Linked DNA regions of Arabidopsis thaliana. The protein of the gene in region 1 interacts with the protein of each later gene in a pairwise test. Each region holds a gene or a part of one and is shown in the gene's direction. Other genes may lie near its edges.

Evidence for each region. Proteins that work in one complex are often made in the same cells at the same time.
Region 2: the proteins of WRKY45 (region 1) and HB30 interact in a two-hybrid assay, tested with the Arabidopsis thaliana proteins (one large-scale study listed by BioGRID).
Region 3: the proteins of WRKY45 (region 1) and AT4G37180 interact in a two-hybrid assay, tested with the Arabidopsis thaliana proteins (one large-scale study listed by BioGRID).

Annotation. Positions count from the first base shown.
Region 1 is NC_003074.8:324,955-329,755, reverse strand, and holds WRKY45 (WRKY DNA-binding protein 45), read left to right. Parts: upstream 1-2,343; 5' UTR 2,344-2,596; coding exon 2,597-2,850; intron 2,851-2,952; coding exon 2,953-3,142; 3' UTR 3,143-3,804; downstream 3,805-4,801. Other genes in the region: AT3G01980 (NAD(P)-binding Rossmann-fold superfamily protein), read left to right, coding at 923-1,014, 1,138-1,657, 1,731-2,009; AT3G01961 (uncharacterized protein), read right to left, coding at 4,405-4,575; AT3G01960 (uncharacterized protein), read left to right, coding at 4,669-4,801. UniProt on the Arabidopsis thaliana protein: Transcription factor. Interacts specifically with the W box (5'-(T)TGAC[CT]-3'), a frequently occurring elicitor-responsive cis-acting element.
Region 2 is NC_003076.8:4,936,426-4,941,707, reverse strand, and holds HB30 (homeobox protein 30), read left to right. Parts: upstream 1-2,500; 5' UTR 2,501-3,018; coding exon 3,019-3,834; 3' UTR 3,835-4,243; downstream 4,244-5,282. Other genes in the region: AT5G15220 (Ribosomal protein L27 family protein), read left to right, coding at 1-242. UniProt on the Arabidopsis thaliana protein: Putative transcription factor.
Region 3 is NC_003075.7:17,502,244-17,507,543, forward strand, and holds AT4G37180 (Homeodomain-like superfamily protein), read left to right. Parts: upstream 1-2,320; 5' UTR 2,321-2,404; coding exon 2,405-2,630; intron 2,631-2,701; coding exon 2,702-2,883; intron 2,884-2,973; coding exon 2,974-3,289; intron 3,290-3,403; coding exon 3,404-3,480; coding exon of another isoform or gene 3,481-3,537; exon of another isoform or gene 3,538-3,573; coding exon 3,574-3,864; 3' UTR 3,865-4,261; downstream 4,262-5,300. Other genes in the region: AT4G37190 (plasma membrane, autoregulation-binding site, misato segment II, myosin-like, tubulin/FtsZ protein), read left to right, coding at 4,912-4,983, 5,144-5,245.

The DNA of each region.
Region 1 (4,801 bases):
TTTGTTGCGGATTCCACCACCCACTTGAAAAATTGACATGTCACAATGATTTCGTATCCTAGTCTTTTATTATTTAACACTCTCACAATCCCATTACTCTACACCTCTTTCATTAAGTCAACACACGGTTTTCAAAAATCCACTACCCTCCCACCACCTAGAATCTTTTGTTACCTACCAACACCCTCCTTTGTTCTCTTTATATATTGGTCCAACTAAATCAATAAGGGAAAGCATCCTTTTGGTTGGAGGAATTGCTTTCATTCTCACTCTTTGTGTGTTGATCAATGGACTAGCTAATAACAAGTTCCTCCTCTATATATTTCAAAAGAATGGAACAGAAACATAAACGAAAGACAGAGTACCTGATGTTGATGATTCATTGTCTGTCTGGAGCTCCCAAATGCCTTTTATGCTTACATATTCATAACCAACAACGGCTATTAATTATAAACCAAAAACACGAAATAAGTTTGTAGCAAAGTGAAATTAGGAATCTTGGAGATGGATCCATTAGTAGTAGGATAATAGGATATGATGGAATTTGGTTGGGGAACAGTGATAACTTACGCTTGCTTCCGGCGCCGGGAAAGTTGGAAAACCTACAAAGTACAGAAATGGATCTGGGCCTTGAAGTGGGCTTTTTATTAAAGAAAAAAATACATCTCCGTTATCAATCACCATCTTCTTCTATCTACAAATTAAAGAAGGTAACAACAGAACGTGGTGGATCATGTGGTTAGGCATTAATTATTTGCTTTGTTTCGCCGTTTTGGTAACACACAGACACAGTTCCGGTAAGAGCTTTTGCAGCCACTCTTTATAGTTATTTAGAATTGGCGATCGAATCAATCTCACTCCCTCCCTCCCTTAAGTCTTGTTGAATCTGCTGAATTGTTTTATAAAGAGTTACTTTGGCAAAATGGAAAATCCGGCGAAGAGAGTGTTGATGACATCCAACGGCGACGAGGTGTCCCGAAACATCGCTTTCCATCTAGCCAAACACGGTTGCAAGTGAGTCTCTCATTTTGTCTTCTTTCCTCCTATCCTGTGTTTCTTCTTCTAGCCCCGATTTGTGTTGTGGTTGACTTTGGTGTCTATAGTTAACCTTCAAAAAATGCAATGTACTGTTGCTAGGTTGGTAATGATGGGAAATGAGGGTTCCCTAAGGAGCATTGTAGACAAGATTAGAGATTCCATTGAGGGAGCCTTCCCTGCCGATGTTATAGCACTCGACATGGAATCTGACTCTGAAGTTGCTTTTCATGCCGCTGTCCAAAAGGCATGGGAACTTTCCGGCCATTTCGATGCTTTTCTCAACTCTTATACCTACCAAGGTTTAATTTGCTTCTTGTTTTTCACTACCCTGCCTTTGATGCTCTTGTGTGTTGATCATTCCTTTATTCAACAATCTTTCTTTCTTGCAGGAAAGGTGCAGGACATTCTTCAAGTCTCTCAAGATGAGTTCCACAGAATCACAAAGATCAATCTCACCGCTCCATGGTTTCTCTTGAAGGCTGTAGCCACAAGGATGAAGGACCATGGATCAGGAGGCTCCATTGTCTTCATGGCCACTATCGCCAGCGGAGAGAGGGCGCTTTACCCTGGCGCTGATGCCTACGCTTCAACTTCTGCCGCTATTCACCAGCTCGTCCGGGTATGCATCCTAGCTCCTAATTAGACACATCGCGTTCGTAACTTGAATATGTTTGTTGATGATTGGGTTTCAGGCATCAGCCATGAGTCTCGGGAAGCACAAGATACGGGTCAACATGATCTCTAGAGGGCTGCATCTGGATGATGAGTATACAGCTTCTGTGGGAAGAGACCGAGCGCAGAAGCTGGTCAAGGACGCTGCACCCCTCGGCCAGTGGCTCAACCCGGACACAGACCTCTACTCCACTGTTATCTACTTGATCAGCGATGGCTCACGCTTCATGACAGGCACCACTGTCTTGGTGGATGGAGCGCAGTCCCTTACGCGACCCCGTCTCAAATCCTACATGTGATCAATGCCTAGTATTATTATAATTCTATGTTGTGTGTAAAAAGTGAATATGAATCAAGTTTGAATAACTATGGAGGGATGAATAATCCATGGAATCAATGATTATATACTTTTGACAAGTATAGAAGAAAGCAAAGAGCCAAAATAGTCAACAATCTCAACATCATTCGAGCTCATTGTTTATTGAATTCAATCAAGTTTGGTAGGTGAACCTCAAATACACGTGATATTGGATATTATCTTGGAAACCTTGCTAATCCAAATTGTAAATCAAATAAGAAAAGAATGATTACCTCAGAGATCTAGATGCATATTGATTCTTGACCAAGAAATATGTTTGAAATTTGAATCCATTGAACCAAAATTTGAAGGAGTTGCATATATAATAATATAAATCAGAATGATGTAGCCGCCACACCTTTTTGTTTCCACAAAACTCTTTTTCTGTGATGGATCCGCTAATGTAGCCATATTTTCAATATATATCACTTTCTCTGGCATCTTCGCTACCGTGTACGTCTCTCTTTCTCTCCCTCCCCTCCTTGGCTTTTTTCAAGTTCCCACCATAAACGCAGAGGGAGTTAAGAAATGGAGGATAGGAGGTGTGATGTGTTGTTTCCATGTTCATCATCGGTTGATCCTCGCTTGACAGAGTTTCATGGGGTCGACAACTCTGCTCAGCCGACAACATCATCCGAAGAGAAGCCAAGGAGTAAGAAGAAGAAGAAAGAGAGAGAAGCGAGGTACGCGTTCCAGACAAGAAGCCAGGTTGATATACTGGATGATGGATACAGGTGGAGGAAGTACGGCCAAAAAGCAGTCAAGAACAATCCATTCCCCAGGTACGTACTTAATCATCAATGAATGATACTGTATGCTTGCTATGGTGATCAAATAAGAGACTCATATACATACATGTAAAATATGAATATATATATATATAGGAGCTATTATAAGTGCACAGAAGAAGGATGCAGAGTGAAGAAGCAAGTGCAGAGGCAATGGGGAGACGAAGGAGTGGTGGTGACGACATACCAAGGTGTTCATACACATGCCGTTGATAAACCCTCTGATAATTTCCACCACATCTTGACACAAATGCACATCTTCCCTCCCTTTTGCTTGAAGGAATGATTAGAGGAATTGGATTGTAATATTTACTTTCCCAAAAACGTTGGGCTCACACCATCAGACCTTTACTTTTAAACTAGCAGCAACTCACATATCTCAAAAATACTAATCCTTATCTTTGTCTTTATGGGACCTTTGAATCCATCTGCTTTGGTGTCTTAGTCTCGGCTGCCCTGTAATCGAAAGTATATTCATCATCAAATTACCAAACATAAAGAAGCAATGATGAGTCTATCATCTACAAAAACAATGTTATGTATCCCAAACCTACCGATTATTCCAAAACTAGTGACAAGCTAAGGATATTGTGGAGATGAAGATGAGAAAGAGTACGAAAGCTAACTTTGAGGTTTCTTCTTGGATCCAATTGCGAATATGCTTCACGTTTCGCTTTAGAACGGAGGACGCTTTCTTTGTTAGGCCCATTAGCCTGGGCTCTCGTGTTTTTCATAATGTCAAGTCAGCCCAACAAGCCCAAATCTTTACAAAAAGAACCAAGGACCATGTCATCCGGAATATGGTGATATTATTGGATTATACCATTGGACCATTTAACACAAAAGCAAATATGCAACAGAATATATATAGATCACATAACAGTCAGAATCTTCTCAAAAGATATGCTTTCTTCCTTTTCTATTCTAGAGTGTTTTGATGACATCGGCACGAAGATAATGTTATTTTACAGATTTAGCTAATTAAGTCTTTCGTAATAATTATCAAACTCAAATTGTTGCGTTTTAATTTACCGCCGCCACAATACCGCACGAAGATAATGTTATTCGCTTGTGAATTTCTTTATATTAATCTCTCACGAATAAATTAATTCACATTCTTACATAAATCGAAACTTATCCACATTTTCTTGATTCTTTTCAAAAGTTATACGAAAAAGTTAGTTACACAAAATTTATTAAACACGGATAAAATAACGGTTCCTTAATCTCAACACTTTCACTTTTTTCCGAACCCATTGAATGGAAAAATGTTATGTTCTTTTTTTATATAGCAATTGGGAAAATATGTTTTGCAATGAGAAATTGTAGAGTTTGCGGCTTTGCGCCATCCATTATTTCATATAGAACTTAGAGAATAATATATCTATTAATTGAACTACAAGATATATCTTATAAATTTTCTCCGAGATATTTCTCATAAATCGTCCGTATCATCTGTCTACCGCGGAAGATAGATAATTAAGGAGCGTAAATATAGTGCGTAAGGATTGAACCCTGTACTGTATAATTACACATATATCATATATTTTAAATTGTAAAATGAGATGTGTCGTCGTGGCTGTTTGAGCCTGAAAGTTGAGATCTCGTCATCAACATGTTATGCTTCTGAGTGATATTATTGCAAGACGAAGGACCACGCGTCTTTGATATCTCTATCTCCCTGCATGTATTCGTCACAACATAACGAAACCCTCCCATATATATCTACGCAACAACACACTATGTTTGAATGCATGAAACACCAGCTACAGGTAGATCTCGATCGGGAAAGAAAAAAAGAGTTGTAATATCATGGAGATGAACAGAAGGAGATCAAGAGGGTTCATGATAGCTAAGCTAATGCCCTTTTGCAAAGCTGTGAAATCTCCAACTCCTTCCCAAGACCTTTATAATAATGTTCATTACACTTCTTCCACTACGACTT
Region 2 (5,282 bases), on another chromosome or scaffold:
GTGTGATACCAGGAAACATCATAGTTCGTCAACGGGGAACTCGGTTTCATCCTGGAGACTATGTGGGGATTGGTAAGGACCATACTCTGTTTGCATTGAAGGAAGGACGAGTCAGGTTCGAGAAAAGCAAGATTACAGGACGCAAATGGATTCATGTTGATCCAACAGGTGGTCATGTTCTTCACCCTATCTACACAAAAGCTGCAGCTGCTCAATCGACTAAGTTGAAGACAGCTTCATAGTCGTGAATACTGATTGCAACAATCTAAACGTGGTTTTCATTTCCTTTAGATCATGTGATCTCTCGAGTAAAAGATGATGCTATCTTAGAGCAGAACCACTCAATTCAATAACATCTGCTGTTTTGTTTCCCTCTAGTCTTTGTCTGGATTTTGATGAAGGGCTTTGTTTGGATTCAACAAATCAAGTTTTATTCGGAAATAGATGTTAATCAAGTCTGAGTTTCTCTCATATGTGTTACGCAAAACAGACAAGTAACAGTCTGAGATAATGTTTTCCCGGCCCGTTATAAACTCATCGAATAATGGGCCAACATTCTAAGCCTCAGGCTCTGGCCCGTCAACGCGGCTAGATCCGTTCATTGAATCAGAAACATATTTATCCTATCGGGTTTAAAATTTCAATTAAAATTTCAAACATAAATTTCTCTCATATTATCATATATGGACGAACCAGCTTTGTTTTTGGCATAATGTGAAATCAAGAGCCAACTTGTTTTAGCCATTAAAGTTTCCTCAAATACTTCTCAAGTTGCCATGCACATCAATATTTAGTTTTTGAATTATTATTTTCTTGTAATTTTACACATTCCTATTCAAAAACAATACAATTAAAATAAAATCATTTCGTTTATAACACAAAAAAAGGAAGAAGAAGATGTCATTGTTTTTTTCTTTATTCACAAATCTTAAGAACAGTCCATATTAATGCATACTAACCACCCATGCGATACATTCATCGTATATGATAAATCCTTCCAATTGCATTTGCACACATACATAAAGTAGGATATGTGTATATATAAAACATATACAGGCATAACATATAATAGATTTTAGAAAGAAAGAAAAAATCACAGATAGATCATCAAATAATTGCGTCAGATAATATATCCTGAAAAAAAAAAACTAATTAATATTATCCTTGTTATGGGCATAAAGCTTATTTAATGTCGGTTTGCCTTATTCTTCCTAACTAAAGAGTAAAAAGCCTTATAACTATTTCTAAAACAATAATATATGTGTTATATTATTTTGTTGTCTATGAAATCTATAGATAATCGTAGTGCGGTAACAATAAGACCAATCAACAATCAAGTTATATCTAAATGCTTGAAATGTTGATACGGTGGTTCCCTATTTTGGCTATGGTAAGTCGTGCAAGTCGTAATATATACCTACATTAATTAAAGTATAATGTTAAAGTTCAATGTATTTGAGAAGAAGAGAATTGTCTTCCATAACAGACGAACATGGTTTGATTAGGTAGCGCCATGTTGCAAGATATGTACGCGTGTTAGCTGTTTTTGGTATTTAGACAATTTCATATCATCATTAGTCAAAAGAAAGAAAAAGTTTTAAGAGTTGAGATTTACAATTACGTTACTACTATAAGAAAACAGACGACATTTTAGAAACCCGTTAAAATTCAAAATTTTGACGGAGAATTCAACCGTTGGATTTAGAGCATCAAAATTAAAACTTCCATAAAATTTGTCTGAATTTTTTGATAAAATTTATCGGTCATATTTTAGCAAATCTCCTAAAAAAATTGGTATACTATCAATTATTTATGGAGTTTTTGCTTTGAATTGTTAGTTTATCACTTATTATTAGTAATGGATTTGCAAACGATCTTAGGTTTGGTCTACACCTCTCTGATTAAAGACTTTTTTATACAGCTTTAAAGAAGTTTGGAGTAAACGGCATCGTTCTTCACCACTGCTCGTGTCAGCTTTTTTAGTTGTGGTCTCCTTTTCTTAAGGCCACTTTAACCGTCAACATGTATAGTCAATAAACATTTTTGAGTTAATTAGTGGAGTAGTTGAGAAGTAAATAAATTAAGCTAGTCATAGTTTTTTTTGCAAAAATTTGGTAGTAGAGTAACTTTTAAGATTGTAAGTTGATAGTTTTTTCGACATAAGATTGAAGACAAACCATGAACTATAAAACTAGGGAAGGTCGAGATTTTAACATTTTTGGATAAACATTGCTTTTGATCAACAATACGAAATATTAACTTTTGTCTTTAGTTAACATCATTGAATCAACAACCCGAATCAACCTTAATTATATTCATGCTTTACTTCCACACGAAATTTTCAGCTTAAATAAGGAGAAAAAAAAATAAAAAAAAATAACGAGAAATAATAATAATTGAAATTTGAAAGGTAGCAAAAAAGATTAATATTGATATAAAATTGGAGTATATATTATTAAAGTTGTCAACGTCATGGAGATACAAATTTAGCAAAAAGAAAAAGACATGACTCACATTAGATGCTGTTCTATGAACTCTATTTATTAGCCTATATTTATTACACTTATCTTTTTTCATTAACCCTAGATGGGGTCAACAAACCATGGTTAAAAAAAAATATTCAACCAAAAAAAAAAAAACACATAATGATTATGAATCTCAACCACACAACTTGGATTTCTCATTATCAACAGTCTTCAACTTCTCATCTCTTTCTTCCTCCATGAGAGACTTGAGTAAATAATACATAGTTTTAAATTTCCCCTTTTCTAATCTTATCTCTCCCAAATACATAAACCCATCCCAAAGATTTCGAGTTTACAATTTAAAAACAGTTTTGTTTAGTGCAATCTTTACCTTATCTTTACTTCTATCATCTATTCTTCTTCTTCCTCCATCTCTAGAAAATTATAATACTTCTTGTTTCTTAAATCTTATTTGTATTACAATAACCAAAACCCAAGTTTACAAAACATTTCTTCTTCTTGTTTTTCGAAACCCTAAATGTTTTGAGTTGTCATGGATGTAATAGCTACTACAACTACTATAGTATCCGACTTGGATTCACGACAACCCGAAATCGAAGCTCCGATCCGGATCCAGCCCGCGAAGCCTATTTCTTTCTCAAACGGCAAACGCTGCCACCACCATCATCTTGCATCTGAAGCGGTTGCGGTTGCGACTTATAAAGAATGTCTAAAGAATCACGCAGCAGGTATCGGCGGTCACGCTTTAGACGGATGCGGCGAGTTTATGCCGTCACCGTCGTTTAACTCCAATGACCCCGCTTCACTAACGTGCGCTGCTTGTGGTTGCCACCGTAACTTCCACCGCCGTGAGGAGGATCCATCTTCTCTCTCTGCCATCGTCCCTGCGATCGAATTTCGACCTCACAACCGTCACCAGCTTCCTCCACCGCCTCCTCCTCATCTGGCGGGGATTCGTAGTCCAGACGACGATGATTCAGCTTCTCCACCGCCGATCTCGTCTTCTTACATGCTTCTCGCACTCTCTGGAGGAAGAGGAGGAGCTAACACGGCGGTTCCAATGTCTAGGAAACGTTTTAGGACGAAGTTTAGTCAGTATCAGAAGGAGAAGATGTTCGAGTTCTCGGAGAGAGTTGGGTGGAGGATGCCGAAAGCTGATGACGTGGTGGTTAAGGAGTTTTGTCGGGAGATTGGAGTTGATAAAAGCGTTTTCAAAGTGTGGATGCATAACAACAAGATTTCAGGACGCAGCGGCGCTAGAAGAGCTAACGGCGGAGTAGTAGTAGGAGGAGTAGGAGATAGTCGTCAGAGTGTTGTTCCGACAAATGGGTCGTTTTCTTCGACGTGAGGAAAAGAATGGAAAGCGTTGAAAAAGCGTCGTCGTTTTAGAGGCTAATTCTTTTTTGGTTTTTCTTCTCTGTGTTTTGAAGATTTTTTATTTTTAGTCAACGGGTCAAAATCTTTTTTCTATTCCACTTTGTTTTGTTATGTCTTGTAGTTTGTACTCTTGTTAGTAGTTTATCTTTGTTAGAGAGGTGATTTGAGTTGTATCTTTCGACCAAATGTGAGAAGAAAGATAAATGAGTAACCTCCTAAAACCGAATAACAAAGTCAATTAATCCAATTGTTTTCTAAATTCTATATCAGTTTGCTTTTTTATTTTTACTTTTTTTCTTTATATAGAAATTTATGAAAGAAATGAGGGAATTTGTTGCAATTATGTGACATTACTAGATTTTTAACCCGCGGTATACCGCAAGGACAATTTTTTTTTTTTTAAGTTAGTATATATAAAAGTTTACAAATTGTATCTATCTATAAAATATTTTTATTTTATAGTTTACAATTGTTATTAAGTAAAAAAAACTATTTATTTTATTAATGTTGATCTTATTTATGATATGTTTATAAATCATTGTCTAAATATTTTGTAATTTTGTAATAATTAACTGCTATAAAATATCTATGTGGGTTGATGCGTATAATGGAATTGTTATAGTCATGCAAAAAAAGCAATATCAAAAATGATAATTTTGTAATTTTTAAATGATGTTAAATATTTTAGAAGTTTTATTTTAGTAACTAATCGTGTAGTTATTGTAGAGAGATTTTGAGAAGATAGTTAAATGTCAAATATTTAATTCGAAAATTTACTTTCTAATTATCAAAAATAATTATTAAATGCCAGTGACAACCACTGTAAATAAGTCTCAACTTGAAGATTTATTTCATATAGTGGCTGCAAAAATGTATATGTAGATAACTCAAAAACATGAAAACACAGTTACTATTTTGTGTGTTTATTTTCGATGCTAGTAGTTAACACCTGTTTGTTTATTTGTTGAAATGGTAAAAGATACAACTAAGAGTTGGTAAGATTAGGCACTACGTTAGGTTAATATGATTGGAGACACCACTCACTTATAATATATTCTTGCTGTTCTATTAAGGCAAGACTGGTAAAACATCTCAACAAAATATTGCAATTATTTGTTTTTACGATATAATCTTTTTTTTTTCATCAACTTTTTTAATGATATAATCTAAATGCCAAAAGACATGTAAAATGACATTTTTTTTTTTGTTCAAATGACATTTCTAGGTACCACTATTCAGTGCATAAAAATAATTTTATGATTAAGAAAATAAATTCGAGCCCAAGCGCAAGACTCAAAAATAAATCGACATCTCAAAACGGGCCCAATATAAAGCCATAATTCGTAAAGGCCCAATATAAAGCCTTAATTCGTAAAGGCCCAATAAAGAAAGTGAGAGTGTAGCGTTAGGGTTTTAAGA
Region 3 (5,300 bases), on another chromosome or scaffold:
AAAATTTCGAAATTATATGACTGAAACGAAAACCAAATAATCAACCCATGGGATTCTTACTTAGATTAACCAAAGACATCATTGGATTCTGGCAGATAGAAACGAAGAAGAACCTTATCCTCAAATTAGCTAGACAGAGCAAAAGCCATCGTTTGTTAAGAACAATAATACAAAAAAAGTTAGGGACACGTGTCGCGAACCCACGATCGAGAATCTAATCAATCAACGGCATCAAAATCTCGACGTCTTTATTACAAACAAAGTCGAGACGTTTCAGTTCCTCCTTGAAAGAAAAAAACGATTCTCATGATAAAGAATCTGGATTAGTTGGACACGTGTCCTGGTATAGTTGGCTAACAGTGAGCCGTTTCTTTTGGTCCGTCCGTTAGATTCCTTGTGGTCTTTATTGTTTATAGGTCCTAGGCATTTTACATGCTACTGTGTTTCGGAATATCTTTTTGTTAGAGGAATCAAATGTTATTTTGAAAAAATTGAATGCTATTTTAAAATTGAAAGAAATTTGTATTTGGCTAGCAGGAAAAAGCATGGAATAAAGTAGCTTTGCGTACTGGGATCTTTTACATTGGATTATGCGAAAGATCCTTTTTTCTCATTTTGCTAGAGAATTCTTGAGTTTTATTTCATATAATAATATTAAGTATAATTCACCTTTTGAACGATATAAGTTTTGATTAGTAAAAAAAATGGATGAGTAGTGGAATAATTTGCAAGAAATAATGGTGCTACATAAGAATGATCAACCTAGTTTCTTGAAAAGAATATCAACACTGAAATGAACAAAAATATTCATAATACGATAACCAAAACCAACTAAACCATGAAAAGGGCACTTATAAACACAAAGGTTACGTGATTTCTTGAAACTAATGCTCACCGTGAATGTAAATGGACGTTGCGTGTGGTAAAAATAAAGAAAAGACAAAGAGATCTTTTGACCACTTCACTCTTTTAAAATCACATACGTATGTGTCGATTTCTAATACAGCTAGTAGCTTGTGTTAGCAAAATTTAGTATAATTTTTTTCCGGGTAAAATGTTTAGTATAATTTTTTAGTAAAATTTAGCAAAATTTAGTATAATTTTTCTATTCGAAAAGATAAACTAAAGCGAATATGTCCTATACTAGTAAAGATTAATTATTTATACGGCTCTACTAATTTAGTCTAGTTATATGATAGTAGTACAAACTGAAGTACGAATTTATGTATCGTACTACTTGCATAAACGTACATGTGGTTTTGCCTATCTAAGAACATCGTTTAATTAAACCCGATTGTATAGTTTGAATGTTTTATCGGTTTTTAAACGAGTGGTTCGAATTCCATGAAACCGAGATTTCAGTATAGCTCTGTGTTTGAGATACAATAACAAATACATGAATCCATAGCCCATAGGCCATACACGGTTATGCCCATTCGGTATTGTTGGTCTAGCAAAGTTATTTCTGACGATGTGCTACATGTACTATGTGGTACATACCTTTTTTATATTCAACATTTAATCTCATATCATGTTGACTATAAATGTATAACTTTCAAGCTCATAACATTTAGGTTATAAAAAGTCAATATTTGTTGTAGTCTAAATCTTCTTTATTTCAAACGTAATTTTTTACTCCAAAAAAGTGTAACTTATCTACTTTTAATTGTTAAAGTAGGAAAATAAAATTTGATTTTTCTTTAAAAAAGTAGAAAATTGTTAATTTTGTACAAATAAATTTGATCTTTCTTAGTTATAGTTTGATTTTGTTAATTCCTTATTTTTAATTTTTTATCCAATAATTGAGTTGCTTTATTTTATTTTTAGTCTTTCAACAGATTCTTTTTATATTATCTTTAATAAATATTTTAGTGGGATATTTCACAGCCTGAACCACTCCATATGCAGAAAATAGTGTTTGTAAAATATTATAGATTCTTCAGAATCCTCTTTTTAAGACTAATTTGGGAAAATATTAAATACAGGATAACAGGAATATGAGAATCTTGAATGAGAAGAGCACTAAAAACAAAATAAATAACAAGTTTCCCAAAACTGAAAATTGTAATATAATTAATAGCCGAATTAAAAGGAAAAAAATCCTTAAAGAAAAATATAAAAAAAGAGAAGAATAAATATATATAAGTGAGTGTAACGATTCGCCGCGTGTGTACGGGCATCACAAAAAGATTCTTTCTTCCATTTAAAGATAAATCTAATTTTAATATTGACAAAAACACCCTCAAGTCTCCACTTATTTACAGCGGCTACGGTTCACCGCGTCCTTCTTCTTCTTCCCTAATCTCATTTTTTTTTTGTTCTCATTTATCTTCTTCAGCATCTTCATCATCTTCTTCTATATATACCTCTTTAAGCTTGCTTCTCTTTGTCTTTATCTTGTCCGATGGTTCAAACAGAAACCGATCAAAGGATGGGTCTTAATCTGAATTTGTCTATCTACTCTTTACCAAAACCCTTATCTCAATTTCTCGATGAAGTGTCGAGGATCAAAGACAATCATTCCAAACTGTCTGAAATCGATGGTTATGTCGGAAAATTAGAGGAAGAAAGGAACAAAATCGATGTTTTTAAACGAGAACTCCCTTTATGCATGCTCTTATTGAACGAAGGTATCTTTTATTAAAATTCTCTCCTTTTCTTTTTTTTATCTTCTCTAATCGATTCGTGTTTTTGTTTAAAGAGATTGTTTTTCTCTGTGTAGCGATTGGGGCGTTGAAGGATGAGGCTAGAAAAGGGTTATCACTGATGGCATCTAATGGGAAATTCGATGATGTTGAAAGGGCAAAACCGGAAACTGATAAGAAGAGCTGGATGAGCTCTGCCCAGTTATGGATCTCGAACCCTAATTCCCAATTCCGATCGGTACGATCAAAAAGCAACCCTTTTTATGTTTTGTGAAGAATCATATGTTGTGTGATTGATCTTGTTGACCTTATGATCATGTTTTGACAGACAAATGAAGAAGAAGAAGATCGGTGTGTGAGTCAGAACCCATTTCAGACATGTAATTACCCTAATCAAGGAGGGGTATTTATGCCATTTAACCGTCCCCCACCTCCTCCACCACCAGCTCCTCTGTCTCTCATGACTCCAACATCAGAGATGATGATGGATTATAGCAGAATTGAGCAGAGTCATCATCATCATCAATTCAATAAACCTTCTTCACAGAGTCATCACATTCAGAAGAAAGAGCAGAGAAGGAGATGGTCACAGGAACTTCACCGTAAATTTGTTGATGCTCTTCATAGGCTTGGAGGGCCACAAGGTTAGTCCTTAACCTTAGTAAAGGATCAAACTTTGCTTTAGATTTGATTGATTGATTATACTGAGATTGTTTTGTATTGTTGTTGTTGTTGTTGTTGTTGTTGTTGTGAGACAGTTGCTACACCAAAGCAGATTAGAGATTTGATGAAAGTTGATGGTTTAACCAATGATGAAGTCAAGAGCCATTTACAAGTAAAAGTTCTCATCTTTTACAGTAACTTAAACTTTGATGTGTGGATGAATGAATGATTTTGACAGTGCGGTGAAATGAAATTGTTATTGCAGAAATATAGAATGCATATCCGTAAGCATCCGCTGCATCCGACAAAGACTTTGTCATCGTCGGATCAGCCAGGTGTGTTAGAGAGAGAATCGCAGAGCTTAATAAGTTTGTCGAGGTCGGATTCGCCACAAAGCCCACTTGTTGCAAGAGGGTTGTTCAGTAGTAATGTTGGTCATAGCTCAGAGGAAGATGAGGAGGAGGAGGATGAAGAGGAGGAGAAGTCTGATGGACGTAGTAGCTGTAGAAATGATGAAACAAAGAAGAAGAGACAAGTGTTGGATCTTGAGCTTTGAAAGTCTGCATAGTGAATGATATAATCTTTACCAACTTATGTTATATATGCTCAAAACTTTGAGTTTGTTCGGGAGTTTTTGTAGATGTAAACATGAGAGTTGAAATAAGGAAGAGGATTTTGAGCAAAAAGTAGGGTTTGTTTTTGCAAGAGGAAATAGATAGAGAAGAGTGTTCGAAATCCTCTGTGTTTTTTTTTTTTTTTTTTTTTTACTTCATAAGTAAGATAAACTCATATATCAAAGATTTTGTTTTTATACTTATTACAGTCTCAACCATGTGAATGAAGGAGTCATTTGTTTAGTTTTACCAGCTCGTCATACTAATTACCTTTTACCTTCGAAAACAGAGGATGAAGAAACATCACAATCTTTGTCTCTTTCTGTAACTCATCGTTTTCTACAAATCTACGTAATCTGAGAGAATAAGTAAGGGGAAAAAAAATAAGAATCTTTTATTGCATAAAATCGTACGAAAAGATAAGATTTTTCGTCTGAAAAACGACAAGATTTATTTTCACTATTGAAGGAATTGACAATGTATATAGAAAAAATCTACTCACTGATTAGTGATTTGATGAATAGTTTACTTCCACGAGATTTGCATGTTTTGTGGATAAAGCTTCTTGCACCATGTAACATACATTAGCCAATAGTATAGGGTAGATATTTATCTTTTGACATAATTTTCTTCAAATTTGTTATTTTTATTCAAAAATTCAAATAGTTACTCTCTGCTTTTCACAATTAATGAGTGTATATACTAAAGACATTTAAGCGGCAATGGAATATTTGTTCAAATTGGTTCGGTCGATTCAGTTTCTAAACCCAACCGGTTTATTCACCCGGTTATTTCGAGTCAATTTATGTGGTTTTGTGGTCTCTGGGCCTCACGGGGCCGCCTCTCCGTCTTCATCAACATTCTCAAACTCTTTTACAAATCTAGGCTCGACGAGGGTTTAAGCAATCACCGGAGCTCTTAGTCTCTTACGCTGTGAGCTAAGAACCGACCTTTTGCTTAGTTTCTTTCAAGTCTCCAATCAAACAACCATGAGAGAAATTGTGACGATTCAAGTTGGAGAATTCGCAAACTTTGTTGGCTCTCACTTTTGGAATTTCCAGGTTAGAGAAGCAAAACCTCCTGTTGAACTCTCTGCTCCGATTCTTTTAACAATGGATTCTGGGTTTTGTCTGTCTCTGTTTTTCATTACAAAAGTGTTTGTCTTTTTTGCTATAAATCGATTGGGTTTGCTAAAGTTGAGAACTTTTACTTGAAATGTAGGATGAATTGCTCGGATTGGCTAGTGACCCTGAAAGCGATCCAATCTTTAGAAACCATAATCTCGACATGGATGTTCTCTACCGCTCCGGTGAGACCCAGCAGGTGAGAGATGATTGATATTTCGTTGACTTTGATCAATCTCACTTGTTTTTGCAAA